Canis lupus familiaris: one gene and its partner. The protein of the gene in region 1 purifies or fractionates together with the protein of each later gene. This does not show direct contact. Links are inferred from orthologs where the notes say so. Each region holds a gene or a part of one and is shown in the gene's direction. Other genes may lie near its edges.

Evidence for each region.
Region 2: the proteins of RRM1 (region 1) and RRM2B purify together in Homo sapiens (affinity purification with western blotting; 3 studies listed by BioGRID and IntAct, counting the BioPlex papers as one, with this or other methods). This does not show direct contact. The link is inferred for Canis lupus familiaris from reciprocal best matches to the Homo sapiens genes RRM1 and RRM2B.

What each region holds. Positions count from the first base shown.
Region 1 is NC_049242.1:26,738,975-26,754,687, forward strand, and holds the end of RRM1 (ribonucleoside-diphosphate reductase large subunit), read left to right. Parts: intron 1-495; coding exon 496-645; intron 646-847; coding exon 848-1,069; intron 1,070-2,994; coding exon 2,995-3,071; intron 3,072-5,846; coding exon 5,847-5,982; intron 5,983-6,829; coding exon 6,830-6,925; intron 6,926-7,997; coding exon 7,998-8,186; intron 8,187-10,222; coding exon 10,223-10,411; 3' UTR 10,412-10,856; downstream 10,857-15,713. Other genes in the region: OR55B1 (olfactory receptor family 55 subfamily B member 1), read right to left, coding at 14,857-15,713. UniProt on the Homo sapiens protein: Provides the precursors necessary for DNA synthesis. Catalyzes the biosynthesis of deoxyribonucleotides from the corresponding ribonucleotides.
Region 2 is NC_049234.1:3,952,458-3,969,200, reverse strand, and holds part of RRM2B (ribonucleoside-diphosphate reductase subunit M2 B), read left to right. Parts: intron 1-6,003; coding exon 6,004-6,159; intron 6,160-9,447; coding exon 9,448-9,564; intron 9,565-10,309; coding exon 10,310-10,443; intron 10,444-11,158; coding exon 11,159-11,253; intron 11,254-16,743.

The sequences.
Region 1 (15,713 bases):
CCTGAAGAGCTTTTTTAAAATTCACAAACTTGGATCCCCTGTTGTTAGGGGCTTATCAGAATCTCAGTGAGAGTAAGGGAGGATTGTATAATTTGGAAGACCTTTTTACAGTGATGGAAATGTATCTGGTAGTTACTGAGCACATGACTAGTGCAACTGAGAAACTGAATTTTTAATTTTTTTTAAATAACTATATATGACTAGTGGCTACTGTATTGGACAGCACACATCTACTGACAGACAGATACACGTAAGAAATTATAGCACGATGGGAGGTATGTCTGGACTATGGAACACAGATTCTCTGTCTTATCTATTTCACTGGTCCATGTTACAACTCACATGTGAATAGGTACTGGGATTTAGAAATGAATTATGAAGAGGTTGAAGATAAAGATAAAAATTTTATAGTGTTAGAGGCTTACATGATGTCATTGACACAGGGGGAAGAAATAAAAATTGTGTGATTCTTGACCCATTTTCATTGCATTCCAGGTTGCAGTCTGTAACTTGGCTTCCCTGGCCCTGAATATGTATGTTACATCAGAACACACATACGATTTTAAGAAGCTGGCTGAAGTCACCAAAGTCATTGTCCGAAACTTGAATAAAATTATTGATATTAACTATTACCCTGTCCCAGAGGTATGAATAGAGGTCTTTGCTTCTTGGTAATTATTGAAATTAAGTTGGAGGGAGTTTATAATGGTCTGCCAGTCATCATTTAAATGGCTATCATTGGAATGATGTGAGAAAACAGATAAAAAGAGAACATGTTATTATTTGGTATAGATTGTTGCCTCTCCTGTTCAATAATGTCTCCTTCTTTAAATCTCCTGGCACAAAGGCATGCTTATCAAATAAACGCCATCGCCCCATTGGAATTGGGGTACAAGGTCTGGCAGATGCTTTTATTCTGATGAGGTATCCTTTTGAGAGTCCAGAAGCCCAGCTACTGAATAAGCAAATCTTTGAAACCATTTATTATGGAGCCTTGGAGGCCAGCTGTGACCTGGCCAAGGAGCATGGGCCATATGAAACCTATGAAGGTTCTCCAGTCAGCAGAGGAGTAAGTATATGGATGAAATTTCTTTTTGCCTGTGAGTTCCTATAGTTGGCTGAATGGTAGTCTTCAAAAAGATATTCGCATCCTAATCTCTGGAACCTATGAATGTTACTTTTTTGGATTTAAAAAGGGTCTTTGCAGATGTAATTAAGGATTTTGAAGTGAGATTATCCTGGATTACCCCAGTGGGCCATAAATCCAGTGACAGTAGTCCTTGTGAGAGACAGAAGAGGAGGAGGCAACATGACCATGGAGGCAGAGGTGGGAGTAATGCATCTAGAACCCAAGAATGCCAGTAGCCACTAGAACTGAAAGAGCCAAAGAACAGAATCTCCTCTAGAGCCTGTGGAGGGAGTGTGGCCCTGCCAACATGTTCATTTTGGGCTTCTGGCTTCCAGAACTATGAGAGAATAAATTTTAGTTATTTTAAGCTGCCAAATTTATGGTGATTTGTTATACCAGCCATAAGAAACTAATATGGTACTTTTGCTCTCTAGAGTAAAAAGGATACTCTATTTTAATGTTTTTTTTTAAGATTTTATTTTATTGTATTATTTATTTTTAGATTTATTTATTTATTTGAGAGAGAAAGAGAGAACAAGCTGAGGGAAGAGCCAGAGAGAGAGGGAGAAGCAAACTCCCTTCTGAGCAGAGAGCCCCATGTGGGGCTCGATTCCAGGACCCCAGGATCATGACCTGAGCCAAAGGCAGATGCTTAACTGACTGAGCCACCCAGTTGCCCCAAGATTATATTTTTAAGTAATCTCTACACCTAACATGGAGCTTGAACTTACAACTCTGAGATCAAGAGTTGCATGCTTCACCCACTGAGCCAGCCAGACACTCCTTTATTTTAATGTTTTATTTAGAACTAGTCATTGGTAAAAGTGACTTAAGAAGAATACTAACTGTATTAGTTTTCTTTTGCTAAATTTAGTTAGATTAAAACAACATACATTATCTCTATTCCCTTGAGTCAAGGATGCAAGCTTGCCTAGCTGGGTTTTCTTAGGGTCTCACAAGGTTATACTAAAGCTGTTGATAGGACTATGGTCTCCTCTTGAGATCAGAGTCCTTTTTGAAGCTCATCTGGTTGTTGACAGAATTCATTTGTACTTGTAGAACCCATGACATTGTGCTTCTTCAAAGCCAGTAGGAGGGAGAATCTCTCATTTCAGGAAGGCCCCAGCCCAATTGCTCTTCTGAGGGTTTTCATCTGATATGTGAGGTCTACCCAGGATAATCTTTCTTTTCTTTAATCAAAATTAATTGATAAGTAACGTTAATTACACTTGCATAAACTTTTCACCTTTGCCATAATTATGTGAGTGACATCCACCACATTCCCAGTTCTTGTCCACACTCAGGAGGACATTGTACATGTCCTGGCACCAGGGAGTCAAAACTTGGAAACTGTCTTAGAATCTGCTTCCCACACTGCCTTCATTATTGGTAGTATGAGTCTCTTCAGTGTAAAATAAAATATTATGTTATTTTTAGTCCTGGTGTTCCTGCTGATATTTAGGAAATCTGATAACTAGTAGTTTGAAAACAGGTATTTAATAACTAAATAAATCAATCAAGGCAACTAAGAAAGATGGAATTTTTACTGTACAAAAAGAGAATGCATCTCAACAACATACTTACATGAATATTGGGATTTCCTGATTTGTAGATATAATACGGATCTTCTGAGGGCTCACAGCAGGGATTTGGGGAAAAGCTAAGGCTTTACCAGTTTTCTTAGCCTGCTTTTGATCAATATGACTGCATGAAAGTTTGTCCAGGGAAATCTTTGGACCTTTGGACAGTTCTACTAGAAGACATTTGTTGGGTTGTGGGGCATGGCAGATAGTCATTTGGTTTTTGTTATGGTTTCAAATTGTTATAGAGTGATTTATCATAAATTTGCATTGTTTGTTCTCTAGATCCTTCAGTATGATATGTGGAATGTTACTCCCACAGAACTATGGGACTGGAAACTTCTCAAGGAAAAGATTGCAAAGTAAGCAAAGAGATGTAAGGTAGCTTTGAAGTAAGGAGGGTTGGTTCTCATTCTGGCTTTCAGAAATTAGGCATGTTATTTAAACTTCTGAAACTCATTTTTTCTCTTTCAAATGGGGCTAAAATGACCTATCTACAGAACTATTTTTTTTATAAATTTATTTTTTATTGGTGTTCAATTTGCCAACATATAGAATAACATGCAGTGCTCATCCCGTCAAGTGCCCCCCTCAGTGCCCGCCACCCAGTCACCCCCACCCCCCACCCACCTCCCCTTCCACCACCCCTAGTTCGTTTCCCAGAGTTAGGAGTCTTTCATGTTCTGTCTCCCTTTCTGATATTTCCCACTCATTTTTTCTCCTTTCCCCTTTATTCCCTTTCACTATTTTTTATATTCCCCAAATGAATGAGACCATATAATGTTTGTCCTTCTCTGATTGACTTATTTCACTCAGCATAATACCCTCCAATTCCATCCATGTCGAAGCAAATGGTAGGTATTTGTTGTTTCTAATGACTGAGTAATATTCCATTGTATACATAGACCACGTCTTACAGGACTATTTCTGTAAAAATACTTTGTAAGATAAATGTATGAACAGTAACCTACAAATTGCTTGGTACAATGAAAGCATTTTTAAAAAAATATTTTATTTAAATTCAATTTGCCAACAAACAGTGTAACACCCAGTGCTCATCATCAAGTGCCCTCCTAGTTCCCCCATCCGCCCACCCTCATAAATGGTAGGTACTATTGTTAGCTGGTTATGTTTTAGGGGTTTAACTACCTGGATGAAGCAATTCTTTTTCTCATTAAACTTTCATATTTCCAAGTGTGCTTGCTTTTTATATGTTTTTCACTTTTATTTGTTGCTTAACTCTACTGGGCTCCTAAATGACTTTTGCTGAATTGATTGTCCTAGGAGTAAGTTAAGGATTTTGGAAGAGCTTTTGGAGTTTAATGTATTAAATTGTGTGGTAGAAAAATGTAAATCTTGAGGTTGTTAAGGCTTTTCAAATTAATAAACATAAAAGGTTTAAAGGTGGGAAAATGTTTTGCTTAGTGAATAATAAAACAAATTGTTTTTACTTTCTTCATGAGCCTATCCTCTCTGGGTTAATGCATATCCAAAGTGATGTGTACAGGAGGAAGCAGTTGCTTTTTGTCTTAAATTTGTTTATTTGCCTTTAAATTGTTTTATTACTAGGAAAAAAATGTTTTAAACTAGGAAAATGTATGTGTGAAAGGGAGAAAAATGAAAATTATCCCAGTACGACCTCCTCCTAAAAACCTGTTTATATCTTTGTCTTTCATTTTTCAGAATTTCTTCTGAATGTGTATATTTACATACAAATTCAACTTTTACAAAAAGACCTGTATTTTATTTTTTTTTCCAAATACTGTATAGATATTTTTCTATACATAACTTTTTAGCATTTCACAATTAATACATGAATAACAAAGTTCAAATATGGAAATAAAACAGAAGGTGAAAGTTCTTTTTAATCCTCTTGTGCCAACTACTTGTTCTACAAAACATAAGCCAACTTATTCCTTTTCCTAGAAATAAACATTTTCTAGACCTTTTTCAGTACATTTAGAGATGCACAGTTTTGTTTTAAAACTGTGATCAAACTTGACATATTCTAAGACTTTTAGTGATTTATTTTGGCCATCTTTTCTTCCTAGTACATGCAGATCTACCTAATGCTTTTAATGGTTACAGAGCATTCCATAGTTTGGTATGTCCTGTATAGATGACTTTTCAAAACATTTTCCTTTCTTTGGACAGGAAATCACTGTCCATTTTACTGAGGAAGAAAGACATGAAGTGAGTTGATCGTTTGCTTGATGCCTCAAAACTAGAAAGTGAGAAAGTGAGATTAAGATCTCAGTTGTATAGATTCCATTAGGATATGAAGCTTTAAGCTAAGTACTGTATAAATCCAGAGGTATAGAATATAAGAAAGATAAACTCTATGTTTGAGAAACTTAAGACTAAGTAAGGGTAAGACATGAAGTATAGGTAAAGTATATATATAAAGGTACAGGTCATAGAAAATGTTTGCAGGAGAAATATTTATAACTAGTACTTATTTTTAATATTGTCTACCTGGTCAGGAAGATGTTCCTAGAGTGGTCATCTCTTAGGCTGAGCTTTGAAGGATGAGCTAAGAGCAGTTTGAAGATTTCTCAGTGTTCAGATAGTATATTCTTCCCTAAGCACGTTCTTTGTCAGTGAGTAGAGTCAAAAGATGTTAACCTTCCTCTCTAGGAACTTATGATTGAAGAAGTAATAGAAGTCAGGAATATACTTTGAGCATAATTTTTCCCTTTGGAGAATTTTGGTGACATGTCCGATTCTGACCACTTTCACATCATTATGTTTCCTGAAAGGGCTTAGCACAGTGATCAAATGAGCACTTAGAAAACAATGAGGATTGAATGAATGTACCCTGATTAGGACTCTTCAACAGCCATTTGGTTATTTCCTTGGGGAAGCTAGTGTATCAAGTGCTAATAAGTCATAGTGTGATAAGAATCGCCAGCAGTAAAATTGTGCTAATTTTGTTTAGGAGTTTAGGAGAGGGGTGAGCTATATCATCCATACTGTGAAGTTGCGTCTCTATAGCGGTTAAATTCAAGTCATTATGTGAGTCTAATGCATGTATTATGTCACTCACAGCATCTGCATTTACCCCAGTGACTTAACTAGCTACCTTCCTGGCAGATTATAGCTTTAGTACCAACACCTAATAATCTCCTTTTCTTTAGGTATGGTGTAAGAAACAGTTTACTTATTGCCCCAATGCCTACTGCTTCAACTGCTCAGATTCTGGGAAATAATGAGTCCATTGAACCTTATACCAGCAACATCTATACTCGAAGAGTCTTATCAGGAGAATTTCAGGTGAGAAGATTACGACTGGACCTACAGGAGATCTTGCAAAAGCGTGATGTTAGGAGTAAATGCCAACTCATGTTTGGTATGTCTCTTTTGCTTAGTATGGGTGCAAAGCTTTGATACAGTGAGTCATCTTCATCTCCAATATTATTCTGTGTTATTTGATAATAGACATTCAATAAATATCTGTGAAAAGAATAAATGATTGAAGGTTGGGTAGAAAAGTAACTTCTTGATATTAGAGTTCACATATTTAACCATTATGTAATCATAATTATATGCACTGTAACTTCAGATGTTTAAGTCGATAATAACTCAAGATGTATATAGAAGCAAAAAGTATATGGAACCATGACAATTGTTTTCAGCCTTGTTTACAAATTAGAATTTCTGGTGGATAGGACCAGTGTTTTTTAATGTTCCCAGATAATTCTAATGTGCAACTAGGGTTAAGAACTACTAATTTAAAAGATTTTTATTTGTGAATTTCCAGATCTGAAATAAATTTCTTTAAGTTTGGAGTGGATACATTACTAATTTTTCTTAACTATTTATTGTATCCTTACTTGGGGGAGGGGGAATTAATCCCCATAGATTTACCCATTTTAGGCAATGCTAGTTCTTTTTACTTTTGCAAATATTATGTTTCTTGAATTACAGATCAAGATTTTAAAGGAATATAACTTTTGATTGGTAGGATGGGCCTCTCAGTCTTACAAGATAGAGAATTTACCGACTAATCTAATGTTAAATACTTCTTCAGTGATCTTATTTACTTTAAGCTCCAAGCCTGTGATCCTATTTAGGCCCTGTCATTCTTATTTATTCCTTGACATCTTGGTTTTTTATTCAGATTGTGAATCCTCACTTACTAAAGGATCTTACTGAGCGGGGCTTGTGGAATGAAGAGATGAAAAATCAGATTATTGCATGCAATGGTTCTATCCAGGTACAGAATGAAAATCATGTGTGTTCTTTAGAAGCTACATTGGTACCTTCTCACTTATCCCATGCAGTAGAGAGAAAGGTTATTCACTGTGGTCATTTAGGCTATGTTCACCTTTGCATTGTTGTGCTAGGATTATATACATCTTCACATAGCTAGGCTTTTACTGTCTTGTTTGTGCAATAATATAAAGCGTAGTTTCCAACTTCTCTGTACTTTAGAATCAGTGGGAGCTTTAAAAATTTTGAAGCTTAGGTTGTACTCCCAAACAAGTAAATTAGAATGTCTGGAAATGGGAGCCAGGCATTACTATTTTTTAAAGATGCCCTAGGTCATTCCAAAATGCATCAAAGTTTGGGGGACCACTGATATAAAGTGTGAAATTAGAAAGTTAAACTTAATTAAAAAGCAAAAGTGGAGACTGAAGACTCAAAGTCCGAAAAACAGAGCCACAGATATTGTTTAACAATAGAATATTTGCAGCAGAGAATCAAGAAGTATTTATATGTAGATGGAGCCCTCTGTCTAAACATTTGTTTCCTTGGCAAAACAGAGAAGGATTTCTCTAACATTTCTATATTTGCTGACAGAAATTGTAGCATTAGCTAGTTTGTATGTTTTGATGGCATATTAACCCTAGACCTAAGAAAACATTATTTCTATTGACTCCGAAACAGGTTCGTTTCATTGCTTCCATTGATTTTCTACTTGTGAGTTACAGTCCTGATTACTTGTGTTTTCTTTAAAACTCAAGGATCATTTGTTGCTGCTTAGCTCCATCTTTTATTAAGTACCTCTAAAACAATGAATGTTTTGACTATAATCCAAATAGAAATGGATCTTAAATCATTACCACCAGCCAGATACTTTGTTGGTTAAATGAGGTTTTGTTGGTCATTCCAAGGCAGAGGTGAGCAGTCTTGGGAAACTTGATAAGGATCATATTATATGATACTGAATGGTATGGTCAGATCTGGCAGGAAGAATTAAGGCCAGACCCTTGTGTCGTTAATTATGTTAATTATACTGATTTCTTCAGCCAGACTGTGATAAACATTTGGTTTTCCTTCTTCAGAGCATTCCAGAAATCCCTGATGACCTGAAGCAACTTTATAAGACTGTGTGGGAAATTTCCCAGAAAATCGTTCTTAAGATGGCAGCTGAAAGAGGCGCTTTCATTGATCAAAGCCAGTCTTTGAACATCCACATTGCTGAGCCTAACTATGGCAAACTCACCAGTATGCACTTCTATGGCTGGAAGCAGGTTGGTAGAGGAAATCAAGGAGGACTTGTTGCCTGCTTGGGATATTTTGGAATTGGAACAATACAAATTCCAAATACAATTTTGTATTCTAGCTACTTAATATTGCCATCTAGCAGTTCTTCCACTTCAAATCCAGTATGTTAAAACCAAATCATGGTTTTTGTACCAGATCAGGGGCTCACTTTGGATATCCTTGTTTCTTTTGGGATTATTTCATTCTTAGGTTTGAAACCTTGGAGTTACCTACACTTCTCCCCTTATTCTCCATACAATTACTCACTAAGTTGTGGTGGTTGTTCCTTTCTACTATTTCTTGAATATCTTTCTTCCTGTTCCATTGCCATTATTCTTAATTTCTTAACTGATCTCCCTGTTTCTGGTATCTGCTCCAGGCTGTCTTGTGCACTGCTATCATTTCTAAAGTAAAACTTTATGCCTATCAACCCACTATTCAAAAACATCCATTGTTTCCCCACTTTAACTATCTACAGTATAAATGCCAGTTACCTACCTTGGCATTGCCAGCTGTAAAGTCCTATAATCCTGTATTCTATCCTTTTTTACCTGGCAGTCTGCTGGGTATTTATATAGATGTATATATATTTTTTTAATTTAAGAGACATTTATTGAATACATCCTGTGTACTAAGACTGAGGATACCAAATAGAAGATATGATGATCTTTATCCTTGAAATAGTCATCATCTGTTCTTTATAGAGACGCAGTCTAGCTCCCTAAATAGTTAAAAAGCAGACATGTTGTCATAGGCAAACTTGGAAGTCATACACATAATACAAAACCTAGAGAACAAAAATATTTGACATTTCCAAAGAGGTAAGCTTTTTTAGGGATAAAAGGAATGTAATATACTGTCTCTTTTTTTTTTCTTTTTTAAGGAAGAGTGGACTTTTAAAAAAGTTTAAATTCAATTAATTAACATATAGTATACTATTAATTTCAGAGATAAAGATCAGTGATTCATCACTCTTATATAATACCCAGCACTCATTACATCATATGCCCTCCATCATCTAGTAACCCTATCCTCTCACCCGCCTCCTCTCTGGCAAACCTCAGTTTGTTTCCTGTGATGAAGAGTCTCTTATGGTTTGTTTCCTTTTCTGATTTCATCTTGTTATATTTTTCCCTCCTTTCTTCTATGATCCTCTGTGCTGTTTCTTAAATTCCACATATATGAGTCAGGTCATATAATTGTCTTTCTCTGATTAATTTATTTCACTTAGCATAATGCACTCTAGTTCCATCCATGTTGTTGCAAATGGCAGGATTTCATATTTTTTTGATGGCTGAGTACTATTCCAGTGTGTGTGTGTGTGTGTGTGTGTGTGTGTGTGTGTGTATCCATTCATCTGTTGATGGACATATGGGCTTTTTCATAATTTGGCTATTGTGGACATTGCTGCTATAAACATTGCCGTGCAGGTGCCCCTTCAGATCACTCCATTTGTATCTTTAGGGAAAATACCTAGTAGTGCAATTGCTGGGTTGTAGGGTAGCTCTTTTCAACTTTTTGAGTAACTTCCATACTATTTCCAGAGTGACTGCACAAGCTGGCATTCCCACCAAAAGTATAAGAAGGCTCCTCTTTCTCCTCATCCTTGCTAAAATCTGTTGTTTCCTGATTTGTTAATTTTAGCCATTTTGACCAGTGTGAAGTGGTATATAATATAGCCTTTTATCTGAGAAGACATTTACAAATATCTTCTTTCATTCTATTAGTTGTCTTTTGGTTTTGTTGACTGTTTTCTTTGCTGTGCAAAAGCTTTTTATCTTGATGAAGTCTCAATAGTTCATTTTTGCCTTTGTTTTCCTTGCCTTTGGAATACTGTTTGACTCTTCCTTTAAGCATTTTTGAGAAGGCTTCCTAGAGGAGTTGGAATTTCAAGTTTAGAAAACATTCTGACGTGGTTTATGGAAATGTATTTTAAACATTGGTCTTGAATGTCTAGTGTTCTTACAATTTTTTTTGTTTTGTATTCTTACAATTTCTGATAGTTGTATTTGCTTCCTTGTAGGGTTTGAAGACTGGGATGTATTACTTAAGGACACGACCAGCAGCAAATCCAATCCAGTTCACTCTAAATAAGGAGAAGCTGAAAGATAAGGAGAAGGCAACAAAAGAAGAAGAAGAGAAGGAAAGGAACACAGCAGCCATGGTGTGCTCTTTGGAGAATAGAGAGGAGTGTCTGATGTGTGGGTCCTGAGGAAAGGCTTAGAAGAGACCAGCACTTCTTCACAGACAAACTACTTCTTGAGCATAGATAGGCATTGTAGGTTTGTTTGAAGTGCTAAGGCTTTGCTGGATCTCATTGCAGCAAAAGGATCAGTCAATTTAAAGTACTGTTTCTATATAGTGTGAAAGTATTGATTTTAAAAATTGGTATTTTGGGAATCAAAGTAGAAGTTTTAGGAGTGCAAAACAAGTCACCTTGCAAATAAGGAATGATTGAGTAGGGTTTCATTGCCCACCTGGCACCCCTTTTCTGGTGACCTCAGTTTTCATAAGGAGACATGGTTTTGCTGCTTTGACTGGTGAGTCCATAGACGCAAAACTGAGTCCTAACCTGTGAGAAGTGCTGATAGGACCTTTCTCTGGATAAGGTCCTATAGGTCATTCTGAAATAAACATTTCTAAGTGATTGTGTGAGACCAAATTTGTCATTTATTTTCATACAAAGGTCAAATTTGGAAAAAAAAATTTCTGTTCTTTGAGAGTTCAGGGAAGAAATTTAAAAAAAAATTACTTAGATTCTGTGTTGAATTCTGATCTTAACATATGCCTATTTCCTCTTTTTATTGTGGTAAAATATACTTAACATAAATGTTACTGTTTTACCCACTTTAAAAAGCATACAATTTAGTGCCACTGAGTACATATATAATATACAACTATACCACTACTACCTATTTCCAGAAATTTTTTATCATCCCAAACATAAACTAAAGCAGTAATTCCTCATCTCCTTCTCTTAATCCCTGGTAACCTCTGTTTTACTTTGTCTTTGAAGTTACTTATTCTAGGTATCTCATATAAATGGGATACTATAATATGTGACCTTTTGTGTCTGGCTTTCTTCACAAAGCATGTTTTCATGGTTCATGTAGCATATAGCAGAATTTAATTCCTCTTAAAGGCTGAGTAATATTCCACTGTATGTCACATTTGTCTACCCATTCATTTGTTAATGGACATTGGGGTTATTCCCACCTTTTGGTGATTGTGAATACTGCTGCTATGAACATTGATGCATAAGTATCTATTTGGATTACTGTTTTCAATTTTGAGGGGTTTGTACCTAGAAGTGGAATTGTGGGACTATATAATTCTATGTTTAACTTTTTGAGGAACTGCCAGACTTTTCTATTGGAGCTGCACCATTTGGCATTCCTACCAGTTGTGCATGGGAGTTCCAGTTACTCCACATCTTTGCCAACACTTGCTAGTTTTTTGTATTTTTTATAATAGCCAACTAATGGCTTTTGACAGTTTGATTTTTATGTATCTTGGTGTGGATCCCTGAGTTTATCCACCTTGATCGTTGGACTACTTGGATCAGTAGCTTCACACCTTTCATTAAATTTGGGACGTTTTTAGCCATTATTTCTTCAGATAATCTTTTTGCCCCTTTCTCTTTCTTTTCGTTCTGGGACTTCCATAATGTACCTTTTGTTCCACTGCTTGTTTCCCACAGTCTCTTAGAGTTCATTCACTTTTCTTGATTCTTTTTCTGTTCCTTAGACTCAGTAATTCCAACTGTCCTATAATCATGGTCATTGATTCTTCTTCATGCTCACATCTTTTGAGCCCCTTTAGTGAAGTTTTTATCTCGTCATTTTCAGCTCTAAAATTCCTGTTTGTTTCCCTTGAACAGTTCCTATCAGAATATCTATAAATATTCTGATTTTAATACATTGTTTTTCTGATTCCCTTTATTTGTTTGTCCATGTTTTCCTTTGGCTCTTTTTTTTTTTTTTTTTTTTTTTTGGAAGTTTACTCTTTTATTTTTATTTTTGTTGTTGTTGGTGTTCAATTTGTCAACATATAGAATAACATCCAGTGCTCATCCCATCAAGTGCCCCCCTCAGTGCCTGTCACCCAGTCACCCCAACCCCCCGCCCACCTCTCTTTCCACTACCCCTTGTTCGTTTCCCAGAGTTAGGAGTCTCTCATGTTCTGTCTCCCTCTCTGATATTTCCCACTCATTTTCTCTCCTTTCCCCTTTATTCCTTTTCACTATTTTTTATATTCCCCAAATGAATGAGACCATATAATGTTTGTCCTTCTCCGATTGACTTATTTCACTCAGCATAATACCCTCCAGTTCTATCCACTTGATCACCTTTTCCACAGTATATCACATCGCTCCAGTACATTGATGACATGTTGATTGGGCCTACTGCTGATTGGACCTAAGAAGTAACAACTACTCTAGACTTACTGGTAAAATAATTGTGTGTCAGAAAGTGGACAATAAATCTGACAAAAATTCAGGGGCCTTCTATCTCAGTGAAATTTCTAGGAGTCCAATGGTATAAGACATGTTGAGATATTCCTTCTTTGGTGGAAGATAAATTGTTGCATCTGGCTCCTCTTAAAACCAAAAGATAGGCACAATGCCTAGTGGGCCTCTTTGGATTTTGGAGGCAGCATGGCAACATGTTCCTCATTTGGGTGTGCTACTCTGGCTTAACCAAATGACCCGAAAAGCTATTAGTTTTGAGTGGGACCAGAAACAGAGAAGACTGGAACAGGCCTAGGCTGCCATGCAAGCTGCTCTGCCACTTGGGCTATACGATCTAGCATGTCTAGGGGGCTGAAGTGGCAGTTGCGATAAGGGATGCTATTTGGAGCCTCTGCAGCCTCTTAGGATTTTTTTTTTTTTAAGATTTTATTTATTGATTCATGAGAGACACAGAGACAGGCAGAGACTCAGGCAGAGGGAGAAGCAGGCTCCCTGTGGTGAGCGTGATGTGGGACTCTATCCCAGGACTCCGGGATCATGACTTGAGCTAAAGGCAGATGCTCAACCATGGAGCCACCTAGGTGCCCTGGGCTCTTAGGATTTTGAGCAAAGCCCTGCCATCCTCTGTTGATAACTACACACTTTTTGAGAAATATCTTTTGGCTTGCTGCTCAGCCTTCATAGAGACTGAATGCTTAACCATGGGCCACTATGCAACCTGATCTGCCCATCATGAACTGGGTGCTATTTGACTCACCAAGCCATAAAGTTAGGCATGCACAGCAGTATTCCATCATCAAATGATACACACACTGAAGTGGTATATACAAGAAGCCCTGGAAGTACAAGTAAGTTATTGAAGTGGCCCCAAATGCCCATGGTCCTCACTCCCACTAAACCTCTCCCAGCCTGCACCTGTGGCTTCATGGGGAGCTTCCTATGATCAGTAAACAGAAGAAGAGAAAACTAGGGCTGCTGGTTTACACATGGTTCTGCTTAGTATGCAGGCATCATAGGCTATCAAACTTGATAGCCCTTTTTTGGGAAGTTCCAGAAGGATATTCTATTCTATTGACAGAGTTGTGGAAGTCTTAAATAGGAAGTAACTTTTAGATAGCTCACACTGGCTATCATAAGAAGAGTGGCCTAACCTATGGGTTTGGTACCATATTGATCTAGTTTGGTCTTTGGATCAGACTGGGTCCCAGAAGACCTGGTCTGAGTGTCAGACTGGCCCTAGCCAGCACCTGAACTGTTTCTGTAGGCTAGTTGGATACTTGGGGTTGGCCTGACCTGTGTGCCTGTGTCAGATTGGGGATATCAGGGCTGGGGCCTCACCCGTGTTTGGGACGAATTTGGTTCTGGAAGCCAACCCATGTGCTTGGGTTAGACTATAAACTGCAAGGCTGACCTGTATATTTGGTTAGACTGGGCTTGGGCTGTATTTGGGAGAGACTGGGCCCCAGGGAAGGGCCTGGCTTGTTTGTTCCAGACTGGATGTTCAGAGTGGTTCATGGTCTGTATGATTTGCTTTGACTTCCAGTGGGGTTCTATACATCCAGATATTAATGGGGCTTTCTTAGGGGGAAGGGGAGAACGAAACTAAGGAGAAAGATAAATAGGTAATGAGGCGCTTGGGTGGCTCAGTTGGTTAAGCTTCTGACTCTTGATTTCAGCCCAGGTCATGATCTCAGATCTCAATATAATTGAGCTCCACATTGGGCTCAGTGTGTAATCTGTTTGCGATTCTCTCCCTCTACCCATCCCCCTGTGCTTTCTCTTCCCCCACTTCTTTAAAATAAAAATGTAAAAAAATCTATCAAAAGTTAAGAAAGATAGGGGCACCTGGGTTGCTCAGTTGGTTAAGCATCTGCCTTCAGCTCCAGTCATGATTTCAGGGCCCTCAGATCGAGCCCCATGTTGGACTCCCTGCTCAGCTGGGAGATCTGCTTCTTTCTCTCCCTCTGCCTTTGTGCTCATGCTCTCTTTCTCTCTCTCTCTCAAATAAATAAAATCTTAAAAAAATAAATTTTATTATTGGAATGGAAATTAAACTAGCACTCTAAAAATTTAAAAAGCAGTAATTGGCCAACAGTGGACCTGCTGTTGAGCCCATAATCTCATCATTTCAGCCTGTCCCTCAGTAATGCCTGCTTCTTATTCTCAGAGGTCATAGCCCCAACTTCTCAAGTTGATAAAGTCCTCTCACCCTGGCAATTTCCCCTCATATTTTGCATTCTCTCTGGCTTCTCCCCAACTTCCTGGGCTGATATCTTGCTAAAGAGCATCTTTTCCACATGTTGCCGGATCTCCCTGGTCCTCACCCCATAAATGACAGGATTCAAGGTGCCTGGGAGCAGCAAGTAGATGGCACTGAGCAGGTTCTGGACATCCTGAGACACAGTCTTGGCTACCCGGAAAACAATGGAAGTGGAGAGACCAGAGAGGTAGATAGTGAGGATGACTAGTAAGTGGGAGCCACATGTGTGCAAGGCCTTAGCTCGGGCTCCCCCAGAAGAGATCCGAAAGGCAGCATAAATGATGCGGGTGTAGGAGGTCCCTAGCAGGGCGAGATCAAAGGTCACAGTGACCAACCGCATGGCCAGTCCCAACCTATTGTTGAAAGTCAAGTCTCCACAAGCTATGCTCAGCAGTGCAATGTACTCACAGGTGAAGTGTGGAATCACCATTGTCCGGCAGAATCGAGCTTGTGATGTTAGCACTACCAAAGGCACTGCCACTCCCAGGCTCTGTGTCAGGGCAAGAATGGCCAGCACACCAAGCAGGTGAGAGGTCATTAGGTCAGTATAGCGGAGTGGGTGACAGATGGCGACATAGCGGTCTAGGGCCATGGCCAGCAGGAGATTGTAGTCCAGAAGAAGAGTGAAGTAGATAAAGAACATCTGGGCTAGGCAGCTGTGCAGTGATATGGGGTTAGCATAATGCACAAAGCCCTCCAGCATTTTGGGCATCACGGCAGTGGCAGCACAAATGTTGACAGCCAGGAGCAGGGCGATGAGCATGTACATGGGCTGATGCAGGC
Region 2 (16,743 bases), on another chromosome or scaffold:
GGTAAATCAAGATCTCGTGGGAGGGTCTGGGACAGCAATTTTAACAAGGACGTCAGGTGATACTGATTCACATTTTTTAAGAAGCACTTCTTTGAAGGGTTCGTAGATGAGCTTGGAGGAGGTTTATGAATTTCCTGAGAAAGGGGTCCTTAGCTTTCATCAATTTCTCAAAGTTAACCATCATTAATCTAATTGATTAGATAGTCCCTATTTTCAAGATAAGAAAGTTTAGGCCAGAAAAGATAAATTGACATGCCCAGGACCACATGATTCAATAGCAGAGCTGGGCTTAAGACTGATTTCTTGCTGGTAGGCCAATATTCTGTTGGGAATAGAAAATGACAATGAAAGTGACACCTGGGCAAATACAAATAGTGTATGACTGTAACAATATCCAGTAGTCTTCTTACCTGAGAAGAGAGGCCAAGGTAAACAAATGAAAATGGTGGAATTGAGGCTGGATTGAGAAGGAGGGCTGTAGCATGCCGGCCTACTCCAGGGGATGGTGAGTACTAGCTGGGGAATCTGTTCTGGCATATCCTCTTGGGATGAAGTGACCAGAAACTAAGGCAGACAGGAACTAGAGGCACCATTCTGGAAGACACAGTGGAATGTTGCCAAGAAATGCTTCTGTGTTCTGAACTTTATTTCAGGGTCTTATACTTCATAACTGTGAAGCTACAATGACTTGTTTACCTCCAGTCTTACCCACTGTTTAACTCTTTTTACCATTGCTAAATTAATCCTTCACTAAACCAGTGCCTCTATGTCACTCCTCTCAAGTAAAAACTCTTGAGACTGTCTCAATTCCCACCAAAAGCATCCCATTCCATAGGCTGGCAAAGCCATGTTGAAGCAGCTTTTTTCATGCTAACCACCACATCTTTAAGATTTTTATTTTATTTTATTTTTTAAGATTTTATTTATTTATTCACTAGAGGCACAGAGCGCGCGCGAGAGAGGCAGAGAAACAGGCAGAGGGAGAAGCAGGCTCCATGCAGGGAGCCCAACGTGGGACTCAATCCCGGGTCTCCAGGATGGCAACCTGAGCTGAAAGCAGCGCTAAACCGCTGAGCCACCCGGGTTGCCCTAACCACCACATCTTAATTCAGGCTGCCATGACATCTTTCCAAAGAAGACATATAGATGCCCAACAGACACATGAAAAGATACTCAACATTATTCATCATCAGGGAAATACAAATCAAAACTACAATGAGATACCACCTCACACCTGTCAGAATGGTTAAAATTAACAACACAGGAAACAACATGTTTGTCAAGGATGCAGAGAAAGGGGAACCCTCTTATACTGTTGGTGAGATGCAAAATGATACAGCCACTCTGGGAAACAGATGGAGGTTCCTCAAAAAATTAAAAATAGAACTACCCAATGACCCAGCAATTGCACTACTAGGTATTTACCCAGAGGCTACAAAAAATACTGATTTGAAGGGACATACGCACCCTGATGGAGCATTATCAATCAGCCAATTTATGAAATTTGTTCAAATATTTGTCAACTGATGAATGGATAAAGGAGATGTGGCGATACATATAATGGAATTTTACTCAGCCATCAGAAAGAATGAAATCTTGCCATTTGCAATGATGTGAATGGAGCTAGAGAGCATCATGCTCAGCAAAATAAGTCAGAGAATGACAAATACCATAGAATTTCACTCATGTGGAATTTAAGAAATAAAACAGGTGAATGTAGGAAAGGGGGAAAATGGAGAGGAGGCAAACAAACCATAAGAGAGACTCTTAACTATAGAGAACAAACAGGGTTGATTGAGGGGAGGTGGTCAGAGGGTGGGCTAAATCAATAATGAGTACCAAGGAGGACACTTGTGATGAGCACTGGATGCTGTAAGTAATGAATCATTAAATTATACTCCTGAAACCAATATTGTACTTTATGTTAACCAGAATTTAAATAACTTGAAAAAAACTAAATAAAAAAAAAATCAGGCTACCATTTGCACCCCTGAGATCAATACCATGGTTGCTACCAAAATCTATGTTTTTTTTTTTTTTCCTTTTCCAGCTCATCCTGGATAGATAGCCAATGAATCCTCCTGATGCCACCCCTATACATGATAATTCATATTCAGAAACTCTCTATTACTATCCAGAAGAATGCTTTTCAAACAGCCCTACAGTGAATACCAGTACCTGGGGGTTAGGGGCACGTAGTTAGAGTTGGAGTATGAGCCTCTCAATCCCCCAGATGTTTGAAAATATTTGGCCCGCAGAATTAATTCCTAACCTCTTACCCTGATTGATATCCAGAGTGTGGATTCTTCACAGAATTCTTCTCTATTTTGTCTGTTGACAGAAATGGCTTTAGCCAAATCAAATCACTTCTGCCTTTGCTTTTGATTGTCCTATATCCACCTCGGTCACTTTTAATCCCAGCTGGTTCCTCTTCTTCCACCTGTCCTTTCAAATGTCAGCATTTTCTCGGCTGCATCCTCAGCTGTGCTGTTTCTCTATATTTTCTCCCTGGATAACCCCTTTGGTGACTAATAGTGGGATGGATGGCCACCATTCATCTGCTGTAGTGTTATATTTTTAGCTGCCTACTGGATATCTTCAAACTGATCGAATTATGTTTTTTATTGACCAAGTTGAACTTTTAAAGACTGTTGTGTTTGTAACTATTGTTGTAGCTGGGGTTGGTGGGGGAGTTCATTCAAATCAAGCTTTTATTAAACATCTAATATGAGATGCAAGAGTTTTTGTCTGATTTATTCAGTTATTCTCCAGATGCTGAGCACTTTGTCTTTACTTCTTGCTGTGATCATCCAGTTGTTGGACATCTCAAGGACACCTTCAACTCTTCTTTATTCCATTCTCCAAAATCCAAATTTTTTAGCAAGAATGATTAATTCTACTTCTGAATCTGAATCTCTCTCTCTCTCTTTTTTTTTTTCTGAATATCTCTTAAAGCAGCTTTCTTTTGTGTTTCTACATCTGGTACCCTGGTTCAGGCAAGATTTGGGTAGGATAATGATCTTTTCATTGTTCTCTCCCCCTGTAATTTCTAATCTGACCACATTTCTAGATAAGTGATTTTTTAAAAAAGATTTATTTACTTATTTGACAGAGAGAGTGGTGGGGAGGGGGAGAGACTGAAGGAGAAAATCTTTAAGCAGACTCCCCGCTGAGCAACAACAGAGCTCGAGGCGAGGCTTGATCCCATGACCCTGAGATCATGACTCAAACTGAAACCAAGAGTCAGATGCTTAACTGACTGAGCCACCTAGATGCCCCTTAGTTCACTTCTGAAAAACACATACAAATGGTTACAGGGTTTATTGTTGTTTTCTTTTCTTTTTAACTACCTTTCTCTAAATCTTATGCAGTCTTCAATTAAGCAGAGATGGCTAGAAAAACTTTTATCTGAGGTCATCCAGAAAAAAAAGAAAGAAAGAAAAAAAAAAGAAGAAGAAAGATGGCAGCCTGGAAACACAAGGATTGGTGGCTTTCTGTGTATTTTGGAATATATCTGTTATTTTTTTTACCACTATTTTAACAGCTTAACACATTTCATAGTGAGATCTTAATCTAGCATTTGTGACATTAGAGGGACTGCAGAGTTCTTCAGAACACATTTGGATAGTCTCTAATTGCTTTCTTCTTCCATTGTCCCCCACATATGGTAAAGTCCAAACTTAGAAAGTTACTTCCAATTCTTTAAAACTATCATATGACATCATGTCTTTTTTTCCACGTTGTTTTCTCTTCTAAAATATGAGTTGTTAGCTCAGGTCCATAGAGGATATTCTAGAGATCCTAGAGCTTTGGGATGTGTGGTCCTCCTGACATTGATTAAAATGTGTGTGGATTTTTAAAGACATCATGAAAATAAGCAATATATCATCTTTAGCTCAATTCAGACTCTTGCATAATGCTCTGCTAATCCAACTTCTTAACAACGTACATATTATCAGAACGGAACAGGAGGAATGTTACATAGAAAAATGACTTTCATTCTAACTAAAAGATGCTAGTCTTCAGCAGTTTTCATAGATAGTGACATTGATAAGTTATTTAATCAGCATTTAAAAACTCCCTTCAGGGCCAGGGTGCTTGGTACCAAAGAGTTACTGCGTATGATGGTTCACATAGCAAATACAGTGAAGGTAAGGAGTTCCAGCTCTGAATGTACCCCAGGGACAAAATATATAAAGGAAACACAAACAAAAAACTTGACAGCTTCTATTTTAAAAATTTGCTCAAATATTTGGGGAAATGAATGTCAACTACATGCCAGGTCATATGTCAGGTTCTAGGGGTTCCACAAAAGTAAAGTTACCTTTTACTCTCAAGAAGCATAGTTTGGAGGGGACTCTAAATGGATAACAAGGAATTAAATTGCAGTGAGTTGTGTACTATGTAAGGTATGCAGTGAGTTATGTGTTTAATCCAGGCCTTTAGGGTGATGGGGACAAGGGAGATATGGGAGTACTTAGCAAAGGCTTGATTTGATTGATGGTTATCTCACTGATGTATTGTGGTCATATGTTAAATTCAAAAGGTATCCAGTAGCCCAAGCACAGGATAAAGAGAAATTAGCCGCCCATTCACTTACTTAGCTAACGTTTATTGATGTTATGTCTGGGAATGCCATAATAAATAAAAAGTAGTTTCTACTCTCCAGGGCTCAAGTTCTTTATCTGGGGAGGCCTACACCTTCAAATAAGTAGTTACAAAATAAGACAGTCTCTCTACTATGATGACAGTATGTGTGCAGTGTGCAAGCCCTACCTGGATCTGTATAGCCTCAGGCTTTGATTTTGATTTTGAGTCTTTTTCTCATCTTGCCTTGCCTTAGCACACTTGCTCTGGAGAGGTGTGGTTGGTGGAAGCAATGATAAGGATGAAGAAATGTGATTGGCCTGACACTGGAGAGAGACACCGTCAGTTTGAGTTAGGCGTCCAGATTTTAAATATATGCCAATTTTTAGCCTAATTGTATATACTTTGTGTATACATTTATTTATACATTTTTAGCCTAATTGTATATACTTTGTGTATATTCATTCTTATGCAAGGTATAACTCTTCTGATAGTTCTGATATATGTATATGTATACATACATATCTGGCCCTGTCCCCTTTTGGAATGCTATCATTTCCAAGTCATGTATATATAAGTATGTGCTTCTCACTGGATTCTACAAAGCTTTGAGCCAGTCCACAGTGAGACCATCTGTAGTAATGCTAACAAGTAAATAGTAATAGCAGATTGGTATATGGGAAAGTTCAGATGAACAAAGGTTGCTAAATTGTTGGTAAGGAGTTTTCAGGTAAGTTTTACAATAGTTCAGATTAGAAAGAATTAAAATAGGAAAGTAGGGGTGCCTGGGTGGCTCAGTCGGTTAAGCATCTGCAAGGCAGATGGGCTTAAGTCATGATCCCAGGGGTCCTGGGGTCAGGCACCCTGCTCAGTGGGAAGTCTGCGTCTCCCTCTCCCTCTCATCCTTCCCCCTGCTGGTGCTATCTTAAATTAATAAATTTAAAAATCTCTTAAAAATAAATAAAGAAGTTTATAATAGTAGCCTATTCATACCAGCATCTGATCTCTGAAAAAAGGCACTGAAGGGACATTTTATACACAAACTTAGAAATTTGCCCACCATAACATTTATGGATTTAGTTTTGTGCTTATCTTAAAATAGCAATAATGACAATTTTGCTGCATGCATATTATGCACCAGGCTCCATTTAAAGCACTTTTAATCATCAAGTTTAACCTACAGAGTAAGGGTCATTTTACTGATAAGGGTAAACCAAAGCTCAGAGAAGCAACTTTCTGTGGTTACACGACTAACCAAACACTATTAACCAGGTTCCAGATAATAGTAAAGGATTCAACCCAGGCAGATGGGCTCCTCAACCTGTGCTGTCTCTCAAATTACCCCCAGTATGTGTTTAGATATGAATAACAAGGGCATGTCTACACAAAATGGATGTTTGTACTTTATTTTCAAAGAGGTTATCTTCAGATACCAATGAAAATGAAGTGAAATCAGATGAAGAGCCACTCCTACGAAAGAGTTCTCGCCGATTTGTCATCTTTCCAATTCAATACCCTGATATTTGGAAAATGTATAAACAGGCACAGGCATCTTTCTGGACTGCAGAAGAGGTAAGTGTTATCACCTTTGCCAGCAGGTACACCCCATAGTAGAGTGTTCATATCTTGTGTCATGTGACATTGAAAAATGTTAACTTATATTGTAAGATACATATAACTGAATAAAATCAGTTATATACAATAGTATCTGAAATTACTGAAATTAAATACAGTGTTCTCCAATGTTTTATGTGTAGACTGCTGTCTATAAACACGTCTCCCGCTGCAAAAATGGCTTCTCGGTCTGCCAGGTTTTTACTTCCAATGTATTTTAGAACATTTTCTATTTTTAAATAGCCTTTTGATTTCCTATGACCAAATAAGATTAGTTTTTACTTATGGCCAGCAGAATAAATAAAATTGTGCTATGGCCAAAAAATGAGAGTGAAAGCCCTAGGGACCCTGCTTTTCAATGACTTACCTGATTATGCAGAAAGAGCTGTGGCAGAGAATTTGCCTGCTCAGGCAGTGCACTCTCTTCTAAGCTGCCAGCCAGAGCTCCTCCTAGGCTACCCTGTCCTCAGTCACATCCAGTCTGGCACTGCTGCCTCAGCAGCCGGGACTGTTGTAGTATGCTGTATGTTAGGTCAGCATTTTCCATCTAGACAATGATTTGAACACAATAAATGAGGAAATACCTGCTGGTTTGGTAAAGACAGTTGGTCATGTAAGTGGTTGCTCTGTAGTCTAATTGAACACATAGTCATTGTCTTCATCTTTCTCTGTGTGTATGTGTTCACTTATCTAGATAAATAGATAAATGAATAGATCTATTTAGATAGTTATATTTGGATCTCCCTATTTTTCAGAAGATTGTTTTCATACATGTAAGCACACACTGTTGAGAATGCAGACTCTGGAGCCAGAATGCCTAGGTACAAAATCTGACTCTACCACTTACTAGCTATGAAACTGGAAAAATTGCTTAACCTCTCTGTGTATCCTCATTGGAAAATTGAGCTAATAATACCTGGCTAACTGGGTTATTATAAGGATTACTGAGATGAATCTCATGAATAGAATTAATGAGATGAAGTTCATGAATGAGAATAATGAGATGTTTAGATTGTCACATGGCATTTAGTAAGCACTAAATAAATATAAGCTATTTCACACAGAATGAGGGAGAGTTACAGTAGAAATCAGAAGACACCAACTTTTGAAGCTTTGATTACACTAATTTTACCCATTTATCCACTTGTGTTATATTGGTAACATCTTTGTTATACTTAGTTAACAAAAAGAGCAAAAAATCCAAAACAAAGTAAAAACTCAGTATTTTCTAATTGGGTCATACTGCTTGACACACCTGACTATTTTTAACTGTGGTTTTTAGGATGTGTTTTTTTAGATATGGTTAACAGAATAAATGGAGTACACAGGTGGCTTTTTCATTCATCATGTTAAAAAGCTACTTGTGATACTTGGGCTTCTTAAAATTCATTTGTAAAGTACTTGCATCTTTTAGCAAATGTAATACATGTTGTATTATAACTAAAAAACACTGATTTAAAAAATTAAAATACAAAGGTGGTACATATTTTGTTTATACATTTTATTTTATTATTTTATTTTATTTTTTAAAAAGATTTTATTTATTTATCCATGAGAGACAGACAGAGAAAGAGAGAGAGAGAGAGAGAGAGCCTGACGTGGAACTTGATCCCAGGACTCTGGGATCACGCCCTGAGCCGAGGGCAGATGCTCAACCTCTGAGCTACCTAGGCATCCCTGTTTACACATTTTAAAAGGAAATGAAACACATATAGTTCCATGTATTTTTCCTTTAAACAAATTATGTCAACCTTAGACTTCATTGTTTTATCTGTGGTGTAGCTTTATTCCTAAATATGACCAATTATCAGAAACCTTGATTCAGAAGAAAAAGGTCTAGGATTTTGGGTTTTTCTTTTAAAGCTGCCAGACAATTCTAATAACTAGTAGTTTAGAATCAATATTTAGAAAGTAGAATTGAGAATTTATTTAGAGGAGAAAAAGCTGAGTAGGAATGTTTACATTTTAAGAATGGGAGATGACCAATGTAATATAAATGAAATTTATAAGGCTTTTTGAAGTGAATGGTTGACAAGGTAAGTTTAATATTTAAGAATGAGTATATTATAGTATAAAATTTCATATCAGAAGTATAATATATAAAAACTAGGAAGGTGTCTGTCAGTTAATCCTGATTGAGCTCTTAAGAGAATAGGACCTGATATTTAGTTTACATGTTTTAAAAGATATATACAAGTATACCCCCCAACTCCATTGTATTGCCAACACTTTTTTTTTTTTTTTAAGATTGATTGATTTATTCAAGAGAGCAGAGTTGGGGAGGGACAGAGGGAGAGGGAGCAGGAGAGGGAGAATCTCAAGCAGACCTTCCACTGAGCATGGAGCTTGATGTGGGGTTCGATCTTATCACCCTGAGATTATGACCAGAGCTGAAGTCAGATGCCCAACTGACTTGACCACCCAGAACCCCCCCCCCCCATTTTCAAAAATATTTCTATTTCCAGAGAAAGCCATACCTGTAAATTGCTTTATAATAGGTTGTTACATGCCAGATACTACTTTCTGGGTATAAAAGTAGATTAGCTGGCAATACAATAGCAGCTACTATTGCTTAACAGGTAGCTAATTTAACACTACAGTAAATTATATGCCATGGTAAAGCAATGGCTGCTGAAAGTCACTAGTTTATTCTGCCTCAATTAGCCAGAATATAGAGCCCTTCATAATACTTTTATTGTATTGTGTTCTTTTGTAATAGTCTTAGTCAATTTGGGTTGCTATAGTAATACCTTAGACTGGATGGTTTACATACAACAGAATTTTATTTCTCACATTTCTAGAGGCTGGGAATTCCAAGATCAAGTCTCTAACAGGTTGGGTATCTGGTGAGGTCCCAGTTCCTGGTTCAGAGATATCTGCTTATACTTTGCGTTCTCACATGGCAGAAGGGATGAGGAAGCTCTCTGACAGCTCTTTTATAAGAGCACTAATCCCATTCATGAGGGCTCCACCCTCATGACCTAATAACTTTCCAAAGACTGCACCTCCAAATACCATCACACTGGGCATTAGTTTCAAATATGTGAATGGGGTGTGGGGGCGGGGGAGGACATGAACATTCAGTCTATAAGAGTTATGTTAACTTTTTTTTCCTTTTCTTCCTTTTTCATTTCATTACTGCTAATGAGATGGCCATCCCCAACGTTGAGATAGAAGTTAGTTTTCCAAACACTTTAAGAAGAATTAAACACCAAGTTGAAATTTTTGAAAATCTTTTTTTTTCAGGTTGACTTATCAAAGGATCTCCCTCACTGGAACAAGCTTAAATCAGATGAGAAGTATTTTATCTCTCACATATTAGCCTTTTTTGCAGCCAGTGATGGAATCGTGAATGAAAATTTGGTAAGATTTTTGTTTTATTTCTGTTCTCATTCAGCAGCTAAATGGTGATAATGGCAGTAAGACAAGTAGACTAAGCCTGAAAAACGACTTCTAAGAAATGAACTAGATAGAGTTTAACTTTCAAAGGTGTTTTTCTGATGAAGTGTCAAAGAAAAGGATAGATTTCTCCCATTTGACCACCAAAATATCATGAAATCAAACATATTGTACCAATCAAAACTACTTAAAATGCGTAGACATGATTTCAATTTTTACCCTTAGGTAGTAATCTTAATAGAGAGCTTGCACATTAAAAACCCTTCTGGAGCTCTGTAATAAGGCACTGTACTCTGGCTCCCCATTTTTAAACTTGTATCATGGTTGGCCAGGAGGCTTACCTTCTTGTTAAAGAGAATTAGATAGAAGGGGCTTCAATCGATCTGTCTGCTTTTGGGGAAAATAAAGACCTAAGGTCAATTTTACAATGCAAAGTAATTATTTTTGATAGCCATTCTAAAATACTTGGCTTTATAAGAAGTATCTCCACCTATCAGGTCAATTAATTTAATTGCTTGAGAATACATTAGGCAACTAATTTATTGTAAAAGGTTAATAGATAATATTGCTTAAAATAACCTATAAATTCTGTCTAACCTATTTTTGGCATGACAGGTAATTTTTAAGTGATGATTCTGATGTCCAGATTCTGATTTGCAGTGTTTAATTAGAGCCCACAGAATTGGATACGTTTCCCTTATTTTTGTAGGTGGAGCGCTTTAGTCAGGAGGTACAGGTTCCAGAGGCTCGCTGTTTCTATGGCTTTCAAATTCTCATCGAGAATGTCCACTCAGAGATGTACAGTTTGCTAATAGACACTTACATCAGAGATCCCAAGAAAAGGTATTACCACTGGGATTTTATTTACAGAGGCTTGTGCTATTGCTTATGTTAAGAGCAGAATTTACTCCAAAACCAAATGTCAGGGAAAAATTATTCAAATGCTTTTTATTGTTTAATAATGTGTTGGGTTAAAAAACTTGTATAGAACCAGTTCATCTTTGGGTATTATAGCTTTAAAAACTGCACATTCTTTTTAGAAATTGAATGCTGACTTTATTTCTTTAAATATTTTACTTAAATTCACCTTGCCAACATATAGTATAACACCCAGTGCTCATCCCATCAAGTGGCCTTCTGGGTGCCCATCACCCAGTTACCCCACCTCCCCCTTCACCTCCCCTTCTGCAACCCTTTGTTTCCCAGAGTTAGGAGTCTCTCATGGTTTGTCTTCTGCTCTCATGGTTTGTCTTCTGTCTTTTCCCCACTCATTTTCTCTCCTTTTCCTTATAATCCCTTCCATTATTTCTATATTCCACATATGAGTGAAACCACATATGAATATTGACTTTAGTCAATTTTGTGTCAGACCAGATCCAAACCGCTAATTTGAATTTTAGTTTCATTTCTTAACTTTGTGGGCATGCAAAATATAGAAAAACGACAGATCTGGTAGCATATCATAGAGTTGCAATTATTATTGATGATTAAACTAATGAAAATTTATTCCAATTAAGAAAAATGAATAACTTTGCCATTAATCCTTTGGTTTTTACAGGGAATTTTTATTTAATGCAATTGAAACAATGCCATATGTTAAGAAAAAAGCAGATTGGGCCTTACGATGGATAGAAGATAGAAAATCTACTTTTGGTAAGTAGCTGTAATTTAAAAATGATCAAACTTGCCTCAGTTGACATAACACTTTTTATGTGGTGTGACTATCAGGTACTAATCAGAGTCCCAGAATAGAAAAGGATACGAAGGTCTCTGCATCCACTTTTTAGAATCATTATTCCTAATGCTTAGGAACCAGTGATAAAATCATATAAAGTTGTTATCTATTTTGTTTAATAAGTTGAAAGTTGAAAGGTTAAGGTATTAGTACATAAGTAGAGGTAAAGAGAAGTCATATAGAATCTGACAAAAATATTTAGCAATCATAATTTGTCTCTGCTTTCATAAATATTTAAGAGAGTTAAAGCGAGTCAAAATCATATTTTTTTCAGGGAACAAATATGTAGTTACTGGAAAACTATACATATTACTTGCTCAATAAATATTTAATTTAAAATATTCAGATACTCCATTTATCTAGCTCTAAGTACCTCTCATTCTTATCTATTTCATAATTAGTCATCTTTACTTTCTGGTTTTATTCACTATGGAGGAAGCAAGTCTCAAAATTTTTGGTTTCAGGACTTCTTTGTACTCTTAAAACTTATTGAGGACTCTCCTGTTGGTGTGGTTTACTGGTTATTTCCATATTATAAATTAAAACCAGGAAAGTTAAAATATTTATGAATGCATTTAAAAATAGCAGTAATAACCCATTATATTTTATTATTAATAGCATGTATTTATGAAAAAACACTATTTCCCTCCTCCCCCAAATTTTGCAAACCTTTTAAATGTCTGACTTAATAGAAGACAACTGGATTGAATCTCCTTCAACATTCAATTGTTGCAGAATATTGACGTAGTTTATCGTATAGTTATGAAGAAAATCCAGTCTTAATCAGATGTGTAGTTAGAAAAGGGAAGACTATTTTACCAGGCTCCTCAGATTATTGTGGATATGTCATGTAGTATCTGGAAATCACAATGTACACTCATGTGAGAATTGTGGTTAAAAAAATAATAATGCCTTAGCATTGTTATAAAAATAGTTTTGACTCCACACACCTCCTCAGTCTGTGGATTTACAGAAACACACTGAGAACCAATGATGCACAGTAAGGTATGGGGGAAGCCTGTTATATATTAGGGAAGAAACAGATGTGTTTACAATGCCTTCAGTTCATTTGAAGAATGAGAAAAGTGATCATTCTCAATGTGCATAAAAATTATCTGAGAGTTTGAAGAAAAACCCTGCAGAATCCTGGTCCTCACCAGAGAGATTTAGAAGGCCTGGGGAGGACTGAGGAATCAACATTTTATACCCAGCTGATTTTCTCACAAATGGTTTGAGAAACACTGGCTGGCTTTAAAGACAAAAGGAGAGAAACATCAAGGTGTTCAATACATATTGAAAAGAGTATAGATAGATACCAATGGAAAATGATGAACAGGCTCACAGCAGGCATGTATTTCAATAACTGCCAAAGAAAGTAACCTAGAGGCATGCCTGGGTGGCTCAGGGGTTGAGCATCTCCCTTCAGCTCAGGGCATGATCCCAGAATCGGGGTTCAAGTCCCACATCTGGCTCCCTGTGAGGAGCCTGCTTCTCCCTCTGCCTGTGTCTCTGCCTCTCTTTGTGTCTCTCTCTCATGAATAAATAAATAAATCTTAAAAAAAAAAAAGAGAAAGCAACCTAGAGAGAAAATTGAAGAGGATGGCAGTCACCATGTGACAACAGCAGAGCTCTAGGTAAATTCTCCATATTGCTTGCTCTCAAGCAAACCCATGCTGCAGATGCAGAAAAAACATTGAACAGAATTCAATATCCATTTATCATAAAAACCCAAGAAAGCAGATATGGAGGAAAAAATACCTCAGCATGATAGAGGACATGTACGACAAACTCACAGCTAACATACTCAACTGTGAAGAGCTGAAAGCCTTTCCTCAAGATCAGGAGCAAGACAAGGATGCCCACTCTTGCCATTTTTATTCAACATAGTATTAGAAGTCCTAGCTGGAGCAATTAGGCAAGAAAAAAAAAAAAAGGCATCCAAATAGGAAAGGAATAAGTAAAACTCACTATTTGCAGATGACATGCTATATATAGAAAATCCTAAAGACTCCATTAAAAAAAACTATTAGAACTAATAAACAGGTTCAGTGAAGTTGCAAGATACAAAATTAGTATACAGAAATATCTTGTTTCTATATGATAATAATGAGCTATCAGAGAAATTAAACAATCCCATTTACAGTTGCATCAACAAGAATAAAATATTTAGGAATAAGTTTAACCAAGGAGATGAAAGACCTGTATATTGAAAACTCTAAGATATTAGTAAAAGAAATTAAAGACACAAATAAATGGAAAGATATTCCATGCTCACAGATTGAAAGAATCAATATTGCTAAAATAAAATGTCCATTATACCAAAAACAATCTACAGATTAAATGCAATCCCTATCAAAATTCCAATGGTATTTTTCAAGAAAATAGAACAAATAATACTAAAATTTATATGGAACCACAAAAAAATCCCAAATAGGCAAACATCTTGAGAAAGAATAAAGCTGGAGGCATAATGCTCCCTGATTTCAAACTATCTTACAAAGATATTATAATCAAACCATTATTGTATTGGTATAAAAAACAGATCAATGGAACAGAATAGACAGCCCATAAGTAAACCCATGCATATATGTTCAATTAATTTATGACAAAGGAGCCAACAATATACAATGGGGAAAACACAGTCCTCTCAATAAATAGTATTGAGAAAAATGGACAACTGCAAGCAAAAGAATGAGACTGAATTGCTATCTTACACCACACACAAAAATTAACTCAAAACAGATTAAAGATTTGAATGTATGGCCCCAAACCATAAAACTTCTGGGTATTTATCTGAAGAAAATTAAAACATGAACTCAAAAAGATATATGCACCCCCATGTTCATTGCAGCATTATTTATAATAGCCGAGATAAGGAAACAACCTGAGTGCCCATCAATGGATGAATGGGTAAAGAAAATGTAGTGGGGGATATAATAATGGCATATTATTTAGTCATAAAAAAAAGTGAAATCTCACCATTTGCAACAACATGGATGGAGCTAGAGGGTATCATGCTAAGTGCCATAAGTCAGACAGGGAAAGACAAATACTATATGATCTCTCTTATATGTGAAAACTAAGAACAAAAAAACTAAAAACTAAAATCTAAGCTCATAGATACAATAGATCGGTGATTGTAAGAAGTGGAGCATAGGGGTTAGGAGAAATGAGTGAAAGCAGTCAAAAGGTTAAAAGAAAAAGGTCTGTATAGCTTACTTGGACAAATGTCAGCGATCAGAAAAACAAATAGGCTAATGTGTAAACTTTTGGGACAAAAAAAGAATAAACATTTCCCATTACAGTTGACTCTTGAACAACGTGGGTTTGATTTATGTGGGTCCACTTATATGCAGATTTTGTCGATAAATATAGTACAGTACTGTAAATGTATTTTCTCTTTTTTCTTATGATTTTCTTTTTTTAAAACAAAATTCTGCATTTTTATAAAACTTGATTAAAAATAGTATTTCAAACTGTACAGTCACCAGAAGTACACAGTTATCAAAAATGCACACACTTTACTTGGCATCTCCAGCACCTTCAGCTTTCTGTGCCTGATCTGTTTTGGCATCTCCATTTTCTGCAGGGTTATTTCCATCCTTGCCAGAATCAGCCTTCCCCTTTTAGCTTTGGGTACTTTCTCTCCCTTCTTTACAGGGGCCTTTTTAGGCTTGGGCTCTGGCTTTGGAGGAGCAAGTTTAGCAGATAACCTTGCAGATCTTCTCTGCGGCTCATCCTTCACCTTGGCTTTATCTCCTTTAGCATCCCCTTCAGCCTTTCTCTTGGGCATGGTGGCGACGGCGGCGGGACGTAAGCGCTGGACGCGGGGATGCAGCGGCACACAGGCTTTGGCCGGTCCTGGGGTCGTTCTCGCCTCTTCTTCACACTGCTTGGGCTCCGGGGGATTTATAAAGTTTTTATCTCTTATGATTTTCTTAATAAAAATTTCTGTAGCTTTATTGTGAGAATACAGTATATAATGCATATAAACAAAAAAAAATAGGTGTTGGCTGTTATATCTATAAGGATTCCAGTCAACAGCAGGCTATTATAGCTAAGTTTTGGGGGAGTCAAAAATTATATATGGATTTATAACTACACAAGGACTTAGCACTCTTAACTCCTTGTTGTTCAGGGGTCAACTGTACATGCAAAAAAAAAAAAAGCTAGAATTTCACATATTTTGTACAAGACCCTGAGAACAAATAATTGAGAGTATCATTTTAAAGAATAGGCTTTGTGGGGAGCTGGGTGGCTCAGTCTGTTAAGCATCAGACTGTTGGTTTTGACTCAGGTCATGATCTCAAGGTTGTGAGATTGAGCCCCACCTTAGGCTCTGTACTCAGTGGGGCATCTGCTGGAGACATAAATTTGTACATCACAAGAATCTTTCATTATGTAGGACCCACATAACAAAGAACTATACATTCTGAGTGAAATTATTGAAATGAAAAGTTAAAGGAAATATGGCAGAAATAAAGTTACCTCTTAAAAAAAAACTGTATCGTACTTTCTCATCTCTAAAATCATGAGGCCTTCACATTCATTAAAGCTTTTAGAAGAAATATTTTGGAAGTCTTTTAAATTTACATCTACTCCTGAAATTTGTAAAGTTTACCTCTCTTAATCCTTTAATTCTTTCCAAAAAGAATTGCCTTCTATAATGATTTTTGTCCTGATTTTCATTCTATAGCATTTACATGAATGCATAGAATAGTTAAAATAAAAATTTCCTCTTATTCACAATGTTTGTGTTATAGTCTAGTTCTCTCACATTTATGTGACAATGAAGAATGCATCAATTGTAACTATTATCTTACTAATAGCAAGATGAAAATACAATCTATATGTTAAAATAAGGAATCTTCATCTTAAAAAATATAGCTAGTCTAAAAAATATTTTTTAAAAAAGATTTTATTTATTTACTTGAGAAAGAGAGAGAGAGAGTACAAGTGGGGTGAAGGACAGAGGAAGAAGCAGACGCCCTGTCGAGTAGGGAGCCCGATGCGGGACTTGATCCTGTGACTACAGGGTCATGACCTGAGCCGAAGGCAGACACCCAACTGACTGCCACCCAGGTGCTCCTAAAGAGCTGTTTTTGTTTTTAAGACTCAGCAGACCATAGTGATTATTATTATATTTTGTATTTAGTACACTAAAGAGTCTTAATTCCTTCTACACAGTCAATACTCAGTAAGTACTTATTTAATTTACCTTTCTTCTGTTATTTTTTTCAAAATGACTTAAAATTGTATCTGTAAAAATGAAATGCTATAGAAGTTTTTCTGACCTTTTGGGCTTCTAATAGGCAAATATTTGATATAATCTGATTTGATTTATTTAAGATAATCAGAGAAAAGAATGAGGACAAACCAGAGCGCTATTTACAGACTGCCAGAAATAT